Saccharomyces cerevisiae S288C: one gene and its partner. The protein of the gene in region 2 interacts with the protein of the main gene of each other region in a biochemical or structural test. Each region holds a gene or a part of one and is shown on either strand. Other genes may lie near its edges. The genes, in order: RBG2 and GIR2.

The links.
Region 1: the proteins of GIR2 (region 2) and RBG2 form a complex in vitro, tested with the Saccharomyces cerevisiae proteins (one study listed by BioGRID).

What each region holds. Positions count from the first base shown.
Region 1 is NC_001139.9:841,883-849,528, reverse strand, and holds RBG2 (Rbg2p), read right to left. Parts: upstream 5,676-7,646; coding exon 4,569-5,675; downstream 1-4,568. Other genes in the region: ATF2 (alcohol O-acetyltransferase), read left to right, coding at 1-700; ERG1 (squalene monooxygenase), read left to right, coding at 1,106-2,596; YGR174W-A (uncharacterized protein), read right to left, coding at 2,788-2,874; CBP4 (Cbp4p), read left to right, coding at 3,124-3,636; transporter YIP1, read left to right, coding at 5,938-6,684; methionine--tRNA ligase MSM1, read left to right, coding at 6,978-7,646.
Region 2 is NC_001136.10:760,787-769,124, forward strand, and holds GIR2 (Gir2p), read left to right. Parts: upstream 1-4,919; coding exon 4,920-5,717; downstream 5,718-8,338. Other genes in the region: NUM1 (Num1p), read left to right, coding at 1-3,088; putative mRNA-binding protein CTH1, read right to left, coding at 3,392-4,369; ENT5 (Ent5p), read right to left, coding at 5,950-7,185; peptidylprolyl isomerase CPR1, read right to left, coding at 7,726-8,214. UniProt on the Saccharomyces cerevisiae protein: Acts as a negative regulator of the GCN2 kinase activity by disrupting the GCN1-GCN2 interaction in amino acid-starved cells.

The DNA of each region.
Region 1 (7,646 bases), on a different chromosome or scaffold from region 2:
TAAGCAAGTAGAACAAATCAGAGCTCAGATCAAGAAAAATGTTCACGATGGGTGCACCCTAACACCCTTCATTCAAGCGTGCTTTCTTGTAGCCCTGTATAGACTGGATAAGCTGTTCACAAAATCTCTTCTCGAGTATGGGTTCGATGTGGCTATTCCAAGCAACGCAAGAAGGTTTTTACCAAACGATGAAGAGTTAAGAGATTCTTATAAATACGGCTCCAACGTTGGAGGTTCGCATTACGCCTATCTAATCTCCTCATTCGACATTCCCGAAGGTGACAATGACAAGTTTTGGAGTCTTGTCGAATACTACTATGACCGCTTTTTAGAATCGTACGACAACGGTGACCACTTGATTGGTCTGGGGGTCCTACAACTTGATTTTATCGTTGAAAACAAGAATATAGACAGCCTTCTTGCCAACTCTTATTTGCACCAGCAAAGAGGCGGTGCAATCATCAGTAATACAGGACTTGTCTCGCAAGATACGACCAAGCCGTACTACGTTCGGGATTTAATCTTCTCGCAGTCTGCAGGCGCCTTGAGATTTGCGTTCGGCCTAAACGTTTGCTCCACAAACGTGAATGGTATGAACATGGACATGAGCGTGGTTCAGGGCACTCTACGGGATCGTGGCGAATGGGAATCGTTCTGCAAGCTCTTCTACCAAACCATCGGCGAATTTGCGTCGCTTTAATGCGATACTGCCGTAGCGGGCCTTCGTATAGCTCGGCCGAGCTCGTACAAAAGGCAAGCAGTGTATCGGACAGAGCTGATATAACACAATACGCTCGTAGTCGATGCATGCCGTGGCTGCTCTCGGTCGGGTATAAGTCTTAGACAATAGTCTTACCTCGCATGTATAATAAATCTTTTGTATTTAATCTATTATATGTTTCTATGCTTTTTTTTCCTATTGTTGTTTGCTTTTCCTTTTCCTTATTTCTTTCTAGCTTCTAATTTTCTTTCTTTTTTTTTTTTTTTTCATTGAAAATTATATATATATATATATATCAGAACAATTGTCCAGTATTGAACAATACAGGTTATTTCGAACAATTGAAAAAAAAAAATCACAGAAAAACATATCGAGAAAAGGGTCATGTCTGCTGTTAACGTTGCACCTGAATTGATTAATGCCGACAACACAATTACCTACGATGCGATTGTCATCGGTGCTGGTGTTATCGGTCCATGTGTTGCTACTGGTCTAGCAAGAAAGGGTAAGAAAGTTCTTATCGTAGAACGTGACTGGGCTATGCCTGATAGAATTGTTGGTGAATTGATGCAACCAGGTGGTGTTAGAGCATTGAGAAGTCTGGGTATGATTCAATCTATCAACAACATCGAAGCATATCCTGTTACCGGTTATACCGTCTTTTTCAACGGCGAACAAGTTGATATTCCATACCCTTACAAGGCCGATATCCCTAAAGTTGAAAAATTGAAGGACTTGGTCAAAGATGGTAATGACAAGGTCTTGGAAGACAGCACTATTCACATCAAGGATTACGAAGATGATGAAAGAGAAAGGGGTGTTGCTTTTGTTCATGGTAGATTCTTGAACAACTTGAGAAACATTACTGCTCAAGAGCCAAATGTTACTAGAGTGCAAGGTAACTGTATTGAGATATTGAAGGATGAAAAGAATGAGGTTGTTGGTGCCAAGGTTGACATTGATGGCCGTGGCAAGGTGGAATTCAAAGCCCACTTGACATTTATCTGTGACGGTATCTTTTCACGTTTCAGAAAGGAATTGCACCCAGACCATGTTCCAACTGTCGGTTCTTCGTTTGTCGGTATGTCTTTGTTCAATGCTAAGAATCCTGCTCCTATGCACGGTCACGTTATTCTTGGTAGTGATCATATGCCAATCTTGGTTTACCAAATCAGTCCAGAAGAAACAAGAATCCTTTGTGCTTACAACTCTCCAAAGGTCCCAGCTGATATCAAGAGTTGGATGATTAAGGATGTCCAACCTTTCATTCCAAAGAGTCTACGTCCTTCATTTGATGAAGCCGTCAGCCAAGGTAAATTTAGAGCTATGCCAAACTCCTACTTGCCAGCTAGACAAAACGACGTCACTGGTATGTGTGTTATCGGTGACGCTCTAAATATGAGACATCCATTGACTGGTGGTGGTATGACTGTCGGTTTGCATGATGTTGTCTTGTTGATTAAGAAAATAGGTGACCTAGACTTCAGCGACCGTGAAAAGGTTTTGGATGAATTACTAGACTACCATTTCGAAAGAAAGAGTTACGATTCCGTTATTAACGTTTTGTCAGTGGCTTTGTATTCTTTGTTCGCTGCTGACAGCGATAACTTGAAGGCATTACAAAAAGGTTGTTTCAAATATTTCCAAAGAGGTGGCGATTGTGTCAACAAACCCGTTGAATTTCTGTCTGGTGTCTTGCCAAAGCCTTTGCAATTGACCAGGGTTTTCTTCGCTGTCGCTTTTTACACCATTTACTTGAACATGGAAGAACGTGGTTTCTTGGGATTACCAATGGCTTTATTGGAAGGTATTATGATTTTGATCACAGCTATTAGAGTATTCACCCCATTTTTGTTTGGTGAGTTGATTGGTTAACTACAGCTTATAAGGGAGAGAGGATAGGAACCGTCAAACATTAAGCTGCACCTTTTTTTTTTATTACAGAAGTCGGCTTGGAAGGCTTGTATAGTACATTACGATAAACACATCTTATTTTTATTTATTACTTATTTATTTTACATATTTTCAAAAAAATTCACATATCATTTATTATTAACCGAAGTGTTTTATACTTTTTGTTCTTTCCTTAAAAATGCCTCCAACAGAAAAGGAAAAATGGCTTGATATGCTTCAAAATATGCATTGAGATTCATATTCGGTTATCAATTAACGATATTACTTCCTTAAGTGATATTAAATCAAGCTTGCCGGATTCTGCAGTCAGAATTATACATAATAGTATTTGTGCTCTCGTAAATCCTTTCAGAATTACACCATAGTAGTCTTTGTGAATGTTCTACTTATTAGAATAGATTATTGCTAGTTTATCTCACTTTTCATTCCCCATATCCCTTTTTTTGCTCATCCCCCGGGGTATTTTATCAAGATAAAATTTTATATACATGCAGTGCGCGATAACTCCTAGAGAGGCAGTAATAGCAAAACAAAGACAGTATAAGCATTATTTGGGTATGGAAAGACCATTGTGGGTACGTTGGTTGAAAGTCTATGCAATTGGTGGCGCTATTATTGGAAGCGGGTTTCTGCTTTTCAAGTACACAACGCCAACAGATCAACAGTTAATCAGCCAGCTTTCCCCAGAATTACGTTTACAATATGAGAGGGAGAAAAAACTACGTCAGTCGGAGCAGCAGGCTTTGATGAAAATTGTTAAGGAAACTTCTCAAAGTGACGATCCAATTTGGAAGACGGGCCCCCTTCAATCACCTTGGGAAAGGAACGGTGATAACGTTCAAAGCAGAGATCACTTTGCTAAGGTGAGGGCGGAGGAGGTGCAAAAAGAAGAGTTGGCTAGGATCAGAAATGAACTGTCTCAGCTAAGATCTGAAACGGAGGAGAAAACAAAGGAAATAGTCCAGGATAAGCAGGTTAAAAGCTGGTGGCGCTTCTGGTAGATGGGTCGGGTCACTCAATTAGGAAGGGCAGCTTGAACTTTTGCATCCTAAAACATACGTCTGTGTCATTTATGATATATTATTTATTTGTACACTGTAAATAGGTTTAAAAATATAACTTCATACTTATTTTTAGCTATTTTAGTTCCCATACTTGGGGATGGAAAAAACATTGCGCAAGCCCGGAATCGAACCGGGGGCCCAACGATGGCAACGTTGGATTTTACCACTAAACCACTTGCGCTTGTTATTTATATGAGATTATTGCATCATGCAATGGGGTAATGTCAAGGTTCTTGACAATCCTAATATAAACAGTCTTAGGGAAGTAACCAGTTGTCAAAACGGTTTATCAGCTTGATTCACGGGATCTTACTTATCCTATATATTATATAAAATATGGATCATACTAAATGGTGGAAGCGCGGAATCTTGGATCTAAACCAATTGTTCAGATACTTATACGTTAGAGTAGGTTAGCTAAGGAAGGCAGAGTTTTATTTTCATGTTGCTCATTCTGTTCGTTTTGCTGTAAGGTTGTTTCATATGTGTTTTATGAACGTTTAGGATGATGTATTGTCATACTGAGGTATCCCATTCTGAGATACAACAGAGAAGGTTCCTTTATACTTACTACACTAGGTACCACTATTATAATTTCGAGATTTCATTGTCATTCGGGTTTATTTATTCATTTGAAGCCCAGAATGACAATTTTTATGAACGGAGCTCTTCAAATTACATTATAAAAGTATATACGAATATACCATGAAAGTAACACCTTCCGGTTCTCACTAAAAAACCTATTTTCAGCATTTATTTCTACTACAAGGAAAATGAGTCCGTTTAGTCATGCAAAATCTCTGCTCCGTACTACAGTTCTCGATGCTGATCTTGTTTTTTCATGTTTCTTTAAAATCTATTCATTTATACTATTTCGCGAATAAAGAAACTACATCTTCATCATCAATCCTGTGGTTTAAGCCGCACTTCTGAGGAGAATGTTTGGCAGAAGAACCCCAAACCAATGCGTATTTGAACTTATCTTTGAAATCCCTGTGGATACCATGACATAAGTCACCAATAGTGGAATTATTTCTTACCACTAGAGGATCATCAAATACTGGTCTAACACCTCTCTTCTTTGTATACACACGACTCAAGTTCAGCTGGTACCAAATTTCTTCAACGACGTCTTGTAATCCCAAATCCATTTCACAGGACATAACAACGGTGTTTGGCTCTCTGGCAAGTTTATCCACCTCTTCTAATGATACTGCATCTATCTTATTATACACATAAAGACATTTGACATAATTTCTATGTTGTTCGTTAATAACATCGATAAAATCATCAATCGTACATTGGTCATCTCTTACCAGAACTTCTGCATTATGGATACGATAATCTCTCAAGATCATTTTGATTGCCTGTTCGGTTAAATTGGTCTTTGGAGGGGAGGTAAACGTAACTTTCACGCCACCAGTTTCTTTTTTCTTATAGTAAATATTTGGTTTCTCTTTATTAAGCCTGATGCCTACATTTTCCAGCTCCTTCTCCAAAGATGCTCTTTGATGTTCACTCTTTGTGGCATCTAAAACCATTAATACTAGATCTGCGGTCCTTGCTGTTGCAACAACTTGCCTACCACGACCTTTACCCTGCGAAGCACCATAAATAATACCTGGAAGATCCACAATTTGGATTTCTGCACCTTGGTACTTCAATACACCAGGAACGGATGTCAATGTCGTGAAAGCATAATGAGCGATCTCAGACTTGGTGGTGGTAATTTTACCCAATAAGGAGGACTTACCGACGGAGGGGTAACCTATTAAAACTACTCTAGCGTCACCTGATTTTGCCACTTCAAAACCAGACCCTCCTCCACCACCACTACCAGCTTCATCAGCTAGCAGTTGTTGTCTGTATCTAGCCAATTTCCCCTTCAAAAGACCCAGATGATGTTCTGTGGCCTTATTTTTTTGGGTTCTGGCCATTTCTTCTTCGATGGCTTTGATTTTGTCGATAATACCCATTTTGTAGTGCTTGTTACGTTAGTTTTGATAATGCGTATCTCGTTAGTACTTGTTCAATTCCAATATCAACAGCTTCAATATTGTACGACTTTTATAACTGGGTTTAAATCTCATCGCTATTATCACGAAAATTTTCACTTCGGGTAACCATTGATTATTTTGCTATTTGAGTGAGGTAACTACGTGACACGAACCAAGTCATCTTATAACAGCTACAAATTGGACGGGAAGTACTGCAAGACAACTATTAGTCCCTCTCGAGATGTCTTTCTACAATACTAGTAACAATGCTAATAATGGCGGTGGCTTTTATCAGCCTTCTGCACAATTTGCCGTTCCCCAAGGGTCAATGAGTTTTCAAAATACCGTCGGTTCTTCTAATACTGGCAACGATAACAATTTGGGTGTTGCCCCCGACCCTTTGCCTGTAGGTATTTTACATGCTCTTTCAACTAAGGGATATCCACATGAACCTCCATTACTGGAGGAAATTGGAATAAATTTCGATCATATCATAACGAAAACTAAAATGGTTCTTATACCAATACGTTTTGGTAGTGGTGTGCCACAAGAAATTCTAAACGATTCAGATTTGGCTGGGCCTTTGATATTCTTTTTGTTATTCGGACTTTTTCTATTGATGGCTGGAAAGGTTCATTTTGGATATATCTATGGTGTCGCTTTGTTTGGTACCATTTCTTTGCACAATCTATCGAAATTAATGAGCAATAACGATACTTCCACTCAAACGAACCTACAATTTTTCAATACAGCGTCCATCTTAGGATACTGCTTTTTGCCTCTGTGTTTCCTTTCTTTACTGGGCATTTTCCATGGTTTGAACAACACTACAGGTTATGTTGTATCAGTACTATTTGTAATTTGGAGTACTTGGACCTCGTCTGGATTTTTAAATTCTTTGCTCCAATTGCAAAATGCAAGATTGCTAATTGCCTACCCACTGTTGATTTTCTACAGTGTTTTTGCCCTCATGGTAATTTTTGTCTGAAGGGAATTGGCTTAGGGGCGATATTTGTATATATGTTTTTCTGAACTATGTTTGAATAAAGAGTGTATACAGCATTACATAATCACACTTACTTCCTTGTATAGTGCAAGCAATACCAGTACTAGGCAACATTGGATTACGAAGTGCCTTCTCTTTCTTTAAAAACTAAAACGTAGTCCAATGGTGGTTTCAAACAAATAAATCCGCACAACTGTGAAAAAAGAATGTAAATTTTAATGTTACTATTCTCCAGAGGTAAATAAGGAAAGCATAGGTTTTGATCGAAAGAAAACATGCAATGTCGATCAATTGTGCATCGTCTGTACTCTAAGGTCTCCCACGTAACGACGCCAATTTTCTATCCCAATGCCAAACCGCACCTCGGCCATCTTTACTCCAGCTTATTAAGTGACGTTTACCATCGATGGCAATTATTTAAAGGTAATCTATCCTTCTTTACCACAGGTACTGATGAACATGGATTGAAAATCCAGTGTGCTAGTGAAAGCAATGGCTTCGATCAGCCAAAAAAGTTCGTCGATAAGCTATACCCAGAGTTTGTTCAATTAGACAAAATATATGGCATTAATTATACAAGATTTATAAGGACTACGGATCCTGACCACATTGAAAACGTGATGAAATTATGGGAACTTTGTTTGAAAAATGGCTATATTTACATGGGCGAACATAAGGGTTGGTATTCCATTTCTGATGAAACATTCTATCCTGAATCCAAGGTTATTAAAGACCCCAAAAATGATGGTAAGTATCTGAATACAGAATCGAAAAACGAAGTAGTTTATCAGTCAGAGACAAATTACTTCTTTAGGCTATCCTTATTTAACAAGAAAATAGTTGACCATATAAGAAAGAATCCAGATTTCATTTTTCCTGCTTCTAAAAGAGACCAAATTCTAAAAGAACTAGAAACCGGTGGGACATTGCCAGATTTATCGATA
Region 2 (8,338 bases):
CATGAAACAAATGATTGATTCACCAGATATTGACTACATGCAAGAAAAGGCTGCCCGCAATGAAATGGTGTTGTTGAGGAACGAGGAGAAGGAAGCATTGCAAAAGAAAATAGAATATCCCTCTTTAACATTTTTAATCGAAAAGGCTGCTGGAATGAACAAAATACTTGTTGACCAAATCGAGTATGATGAAACTATAAGAAAATGCAATCATCCCACTCGGATGGAGCTAGAGGAATCCTGTCATCACTTGAACTTGGTTTTGCTCGACCAAAACGAGTACTCAACTCTAAGAGAACCTTTGGAAAATCGAAATGTTGAAGACTTAATTAACACCTTGAGCAAACTAAACTACATTGCAATTCCTAATACTATCTACCAAGATTTAATTGGAAAGTATGAGAATCCAAACTTTGATTATCTAAAGGATTCTTTGAACAAAATGGATTACGTCGCAATCTCTAGACAAGATTATGAATTGATGGTTGCTAAATACGAAAAGCCACAACTGGATTATTTGAAAATTTCTTCAGAGAAAATCGACCACATTGTAGTGCCTCTGTCTGAGTACAATTTAATGGTTACAAATTATAGAAATCCCAGCTTGAGCTACTTAAAAGAGAAAGCCGTTTTGAATAATCATATTTTAATAAAAGAAGATGACTATAAAAACATTTTAGCAGTATCAGAACATCCGACAGTGATCCACCTCTCCGAAAAGGCATCTTTATTAAATAAAGTCTTGGTAGACAAGGATGATTTTGCGACCATGTCACGCTCGATTGAGAAACCAACTATCGATTTCTTATCCACTAAGGCGCTATCAATGGGGAAAATACTAGTTAATGAATCTACGCATAAAAGAAACGAGAAACTATTATCTGAACCAGATTCTGAATTTTTGACAATGAAAGCCAAGGAGCAAGGGCTAATTATCATTTCAGAAAAGGAATATTCTGAACTGCGGGATCAAATAGATCGTCCTAGCCTAGATGTTTTGAAAGAAAAGGCCGCCATTTTTGATAGCATCATAGTAGAAAACATAGAATACCAACAACTGGTAAACACTACAAGTCCCTGCCCTCCCATTACTTATGAAGATTTGAAAGTATATGCCCACCAATTCGGTATGGAATTATGCCTCCAAAAACCCAACAAACTTTCTGGAGCTGAGCGTGCAGAGCGCATTGATGAACAATCAATAAATACGACCAGCAGTAACTCGACCACAACATCGAGCATGTTTACAGATGCACTAGATGATAATATCGAAGAGCTTAATCGTGTCGAATTGCAGAATAATGAAGATTATACTGACATAATCTCGAAATCATCCACAGTGAAAGATGCTACCATTTTCATTCCCGCCTATGAAAACATCAAGAATTCTGCTGAAAAATTAGGCTACAAATTAGTTCCGTTCGAAAAATCAAATATCAATCTGAAAAACATTGAAGCTCCATTATTTTCGAAGGACAACGATGACACTAGCGTTGCCAGTAGCATAGATCTTGATCACTTATCTAGAAAAGCAGAAAAATATGGTATGACCCTCATTTCTGATCAGGAATTTGAAGAATATCATATACTAAAAGATAACGCGGTTAATCTGAATGGTGGCATGGAAGAAATGAATAATCCCTTGTCAGAAAATCAAAACTTAGCAGCAAAAACCACAAACACAGCGCAAGAAGGTGCCTTCCAAAACACCGTTCCCCACAATGATATGGACAACGAAGAAGTCGAATATGGGCCGGATGATCCAACATTCACAGTAAGGCAACTCAAGAAACCCGCTGGCGATCGTAATTTGATTTTGACTAGTAGGGAGAAAACACTGTTATCAAGAGATGATAATATAATGAGTCAAAATGAGGCGGTTTATGGTGACGATATATCTGATAGCTTTGTAGATGAAAGCCAAGAAATCAAAAATGATGTAGACATTATTAAAACTCAAGCTATGAAATATGGTATGTTGTGTATTCCTGAAAGTAATTTTGTGGGTGCATCATATGCAAGTGCTCAAGATATGAGCGATATAGTTGTGCTTTCCGCGTCCTATTACCATAATCTAATGTCACCTGAAGACATGAAATGGAACTGTGTTAGTAATGAAGAATTACAAGCGGAAGTTAAAAAGCGTGGGCTCCAGATTGCACTAACAACAAAGGAAGATAAGAAAGGTCAAGCCACGGCATCCAAACATGAGTATGTGTCGCATAAGCTAAACAATAAAACATCTACTGTGTCCACAAAGTCTGGAGCAAAAAAGGGACTTGCAGAAGCAGCAGCAACAACTGCTTATGAAGATTCCGAAAGTCATCCACAAATAGAAGAGCAGTCTCATCGTACTAATCATCATAAGCACCATAAACGTCAACAGAGTCTGAATTCTAATTCAACCTCAAAAACCACACATTCATCGAGGAATACGCCAGCATCTAGACGAGATATAGTAGCATCATTTATGTCACGTGCAGGATCTGCCAGTAGGACGGCATCTTTACAAACTTTAGCATCATTGAACGAACCAAGCATAATACCCGCGTTAACCCAAACCGTCATTGGGGAATATTTGTTTAAGTATTATCCACGCTTGGGACCTTTTGGATTCGAATCACGTCATGAAAGATTCTTCTGGGTTCATCCATATACCTTAACTTTGTACTGGTCCGCTTCTAATCCCATCCTAGAGAATCCTGCCAATACCAAAACAAAAGGTGTTGCCATTCTAGGAGTAGAAAGTGTCACAGACCCAAACCCATATCCAACAGGATTGTATCACAAAAGTATTGTTGTTACCACAGAAACTAGGACTATTAAGTTTACTTGTCCTACAAGGCAAAGACACAATATTTGGTATAATTCATTACGTTATTTACTTCAAAGGAACATGCAAGGGATAAGTTTAGAGGACATCGCTGATGATCCAACAGATAATATGTATTCAGGAAAGATTTTCCCATTGCCCGGCGAAAATACAAAGAGCTCCAGTAAAAGACTTAGCGCATCGAGAAGGTCCGTATCTACAAGGTCTCTAAGACATAGAGTACCACAAAGCCGATCATTTGGCAATTTACGATAGTTAAAAAAACTAAATAACTCTAAGTAAATTAAGAACAATAATAATCATTATTTCGATTTTTAGTCCTGTAAACACGTTTGCCACCGATGAGTAACACTGAAAGATCAGAGAAAGAAAAAAAAATTCTACCTAATGAAATAAATAAACTAAAAAGATTAAATTAACTAATTCTCATGTTAGTAGGTCACGAATTCTTTAATTTTGTTTTGTGACTGAAATAAATATGAAAACGATAATGAATAAATAAATAAGGAGAGGCAGCAGAAATACGCCAAATATTCAAAGGGCTTTGTTGTTGACCGACTACCAAGTCATCCTTTGCAATGCTTTAACACTAGTATGTAAGTTCCTAGGCTTACTCAAATTAGTGATATTATCGTTGTTGCTTGGGGCTAGGGAAGTAGGAAGTGGAGTCAACGCCGTATCCTTACTTCTTCCATCGTTAGCATTTTGATATATTTCAACGTCCTTATCATCACCGTGTTTGAAACAGCAACGCTTACCGTACGGACAGTAGCCTAACTTCGACCAATTTATGCAAGGTTTAGTTCTATAATTGTTTGATTTTTTCTTGAATTTCAGTTCATTAAGACCATGAGCAAATTGGCATTTATTTCCATACTTACAATAGCCTTTAATAGTAAAAGATTCACAGAGCTCAGTTTTGTATAAGGTCTTATTGACTAATTGAGGAAGCTGCAAAGGTGCCCTTCTACAAGGTTCCAGTTTTGTTGTTTTCTGAATTGGAAGTGTGTATGGAAGTCCAGTAGACTGAGAATCCACCTGAGATAGTTTTTGTAAATTCTCCGCTGTCAGGGGTAATGAAAATGCACTTGTCGTGTAAGTAGGGTTAATCTCAACTTCGAGTGACCTTTTCTTACGTTTTTTCTCAGTTGTAGCAAGTGTTGAGATGTTATTATTGCCTGCGAAAGGGTTATTAATAGGTAATGTATTTGTAGGTCTGGAATCTGATATGATCAAGTCTTTAAAATCTCCCAACGGATGATAACAGTTTGGTTTGGATGGTAACCAAGGAGAAGGCCTTGGTGAGTATTCACTTAAAATGTCCGTTTCATTTATATTATGCCCCTCGGAGCTGCTGCTGTCATCATTATCGGTATTTTCATTGAGCAGTGTCTTTATATAATATTCTTCGATTTCTTTAATCTTTGACTCGTACTCCTTGTTGAGATCAGAAAAGATCGAGGACGTAGTCGTTGAGGTCGAATTGGCATTCGGTATGTTTAAATAGTAGCTGTTTGGAGCAACATTCGGCATCATGGCTAGTGTTAATCCTTAATAGTTCTTATTGGTTGAGTTGCCGAAGAGACTGTGATATAGGGTTCTACGGCTTTACAATCAACTTATGGGTGAAGAGGCTAAATAAGATGTGACTTGTTAAGAGAGCAAGCGCAACAAGAGTGCAAAACCGTCACACTATGTCCAATGATCTACACTATCAACCTTTGAGTTAATGTTCTCTGATCCAGTATATTAGTAACTGCTCACACTGATCAAGAGCGTGAGAGAATACGAGCGAAAAAGAAAGAAGAAAAATTTGGGTGCCATTGGCACAGACCCTAAAAGAGATGTGAGAGAAGTGGGCCATATATGTATATTTTTCCCGAATGTCCTAATAAGTAATGATTGGAAATCCTAGGTCTATAAACTCGGGTAACAGAAGGTGGAAAATGAAAATTTTCTATTTTCCAATTGTAAAATCAGCAGGCATCGTTAGATTGGCTTTAAAGAGCTGAGTTTCCCATGCTGTCGGTTGGTATAATTTAAGGAAAAGCCCTCCCTCCATATCCAGAAGGCACTTGTTAATACTATGGATTATAAGGAAGAACAGAAGCAGGAACTAGAAGTTTTAGAGTCCATTTATCCTGATGAACTGAGGATCATAAACGATGAATACCCAAAGATTAAATTTGAAGTAGCCATTAAATTAGAGCTGGATACAGGTGATTCTACTTCTGTTTTAACCAAAGAGCACACTATAATCGCCGAATTCAAGTTACCAGAAAACTACCCTGACGAACCATGCCTGATTTCATTGGAAGCTCAAGAAGTAGCCCTCAATGACAACGAAGAAGATAACGAGGAAGATGAAGACGAGGTTGAATATGACGACCATGGTAATAAAGTACTGAAAAAGTTTGAAAACCTGCCAGATTTAATAAGCTTTAAGGGGTACTTGCCTGAATTAACCGTACAATTAGAATCGCAAATCGAAACCGATATGTTATTGGGTATGCAAATGTGTTTTGCATTGATTTCATCCATAAAAGAAAGATGTGAGCAATGGTATAGTGAACAATTGAATAAGCTCGAGAAGCAGTACGAGCTGGAAGCACAAGAACGTGAAAAGAAGGAACAGGCCAAGTTCCATGGTACTAAAGTCACAAGAGAATCGTACTTGGAATGGAGGTCTAAATTTCGCCAAGAACTGAAACTGGATGAAAGAGACCAGGTGAGAAGGATGAAGGCTCATCATGGGAAGCTAACCGGTAAGCAAATGTTTGAACAAGGCGTGGTGGGCACAGGCGACGAGTATATGGAAGAGGATGACGCGAGTGTAGATGACGTAGCCAAGGGACTTGCCAAGACCGAAATAGCAAATCAATAAATACTTGTGTACTTAAGTATTTAAGTATTTTCTTCTGCATGGATAATGACATATACAAATGTATCTATATAATATTTTTTTGATATTCAATAAAAAGAAAACTGACATTTGAAGAAGGAAATAGACAAGTTTTTAGTAAGATATTATTAGTGTATATATGGATACATATATCTGAGAATGAAAATTTGTTGACTGTATTGAATGTATTGGGAGATGAAGGGGTATTTGGTGATTAGACCAACGACTTGGAGTAAGAGAATAAGTCGGAAAATGCATCATTTCCCTTCGACTTGTCCTTTGTAGCCTGAGGACGGGCTTTTTGCTGTTTTTTCTCCGCAAAGGGCAATGATGTTTGCGCAGCAGCGGTGGTATCTGTGTCTGACTTTGGGCCATCCCAGTCAAGCAAATCATCTATTTTACTATTGGAAGTTTTAGGTGCTGTTGTGTCGGGACTCGTTTCGCTTTGGAAGTCGCCAAACTCATCATCATCATCATCACTATTGCTGTTGATATTATTGTTTTTGTTGTCATTATTACCATTGTCTATTGTTATATTATTCGTGGTGCTAGTACTATCGTCAAGATCGATTAAGTCAGGGATGCTATCTTGTTGTTGCTTTCTTTTCCTCTGCTGTTCTTTATTTTTGATCTGCTCTCTTAATATCTCCCTTCTTTGTCTTCTTTGTTCTTCCATATGAGAACGCCTGCGAGTATTCGAATTTGCTTCTGTTTCCACAGGAACATTGAAGTTGGTCACATTATTAGCATCCATTTCACTGTCAAAGCCATCTGCATCTGCATCAAATTCATCGTCGTCGATGTTATCGTAACTTGCAGACGTTGAAATCTGGTTGGCATTATAAATGGAGGATTCTCCTTGCTGTCGAATTTTCAAGGCATTCTTCTTATTCTTGGCTCTTTCCTTTTTCAAAAATTGTGAGTCTTCCAAGTATTGCAAGATAAGTTCTCCCTTTTTCCTAATACCTCTCTCATGAATCTCCATTTTACCATCATTGGAGAATTTTACCTTGAATTGGGCAATCTCCCTGGTTAAAATATGCTTATGAGTGAGCAAACATGATCTAATCTGATTCAGTTCGTCACCTGTGTCGACGTTCAATAATAGGAATTCAATGACTACTAGACATTTTAAGACCACCCTCCATTCGGACCCATAATTAACGTAGTCCTTTCTTGCCTTTTCGTATAGGTTCTTGGGCCTGGTAGCGATATGGTCGACTAATCTTTTCAACGTGTATTCTGTCATCAAGTAGAGCGGCACTTGGTATCTGTTCCTTAAAACCTTGGCGAGGTGCTTCGGTGTGGGGCCCCAAGCATCGGTATTTGTAGCACGACGGATATCTATCTGATAAGGCTCATATTGGACTATCACGTTTTGGGCAAACCTTGCGGCATTTCTAATATCATGGATACCTAAATTTTGAATCTTTTTTGATAATGAGTCCATTTTGTATGGTGTTGGTATTTATGCAATTGGAACGTTTAATTTGTGTATATGAATTTCCCTTCCGATTTGTATATTGGATAGAAATATAATTTTTTAAAAAAAGTAAACTATAAGCAGCCTGGAAAGATAAGCTAGACCAATTCTTATTGATAAAAAACTAAAGATAAATTCAACCGAAAACTAAAATCTAGATTGAAATTAAAACAAGAATGAATGAATGGATCAAAGGACCTGAATATGAAAAAAAGTGCAGGAGAAAGAAAATTTTCTCGCTGTGGAAAATAAGCCGAAAATCCGTTACCTAGAGGAAAGAAAGAAACGTGGGAAAAACAGGGGGCGGTACCCGGCGGCGTCAACTTAACAGGCATAACCTAGGCGGTAGTTGGCTAGTTGGCAAGCCTGGCAACATACTCCGATATAGGTAGGAAGAGTTAGTTATAAGAATTGATTGTCATACATACACATACCTTATACATATACATATAATTTAAGAGAGAATAGTTCGTTTCAATTTTTGCTGTATTGTTCCAGGCAGAGCGGTTATAATTCACCGGACTTGGCAACAACAATTCTAGCCTTGGTGGCACCGGAAGGAGAACCCAAGGACTCAACCTTCTTAACGATGTCGTAACCGTCAACAACTTCACCAAAGACAACATGCTTACCGTCCAACCATGGGCATGGAACGGTGGTGATGAAGAATTGAGAACCGTTGGTGTTTGGACCGGCGTTGGCCATGGACAACAAACCTGGTCTGTCGTGGTGCTTCTTGAAGTTTTCATCTGGGAATTTGCCACCGTAGATAGACTTACCGCCGGTACCGTTACCAGCAGTGAAGTCACCACCTTGCAACATGAAGTCTGGAATAACTCTGTGGAATGGAGAGCCAGCGTAGCCGAATCCCTTTTCACCGGTACATAGAGCTCTGAAGTTTTCTGCAGTCTTTGGGACTATGTCGTTGTACAACTTGAAAACGACACGGCCAATTGGTTGGCCATCAGCTTCGACATCAAAATAGACTTGGGACATGGTAGTATTAGCGGTTGAGTTTGGATTGAGTTGAGATATTAAATTCAAGACAAATCTTAATATAACCTATCTAGCGAAAAAGGAGGAACAAATGATGACGACAGTGGCAAAAGGATAGAAGGCT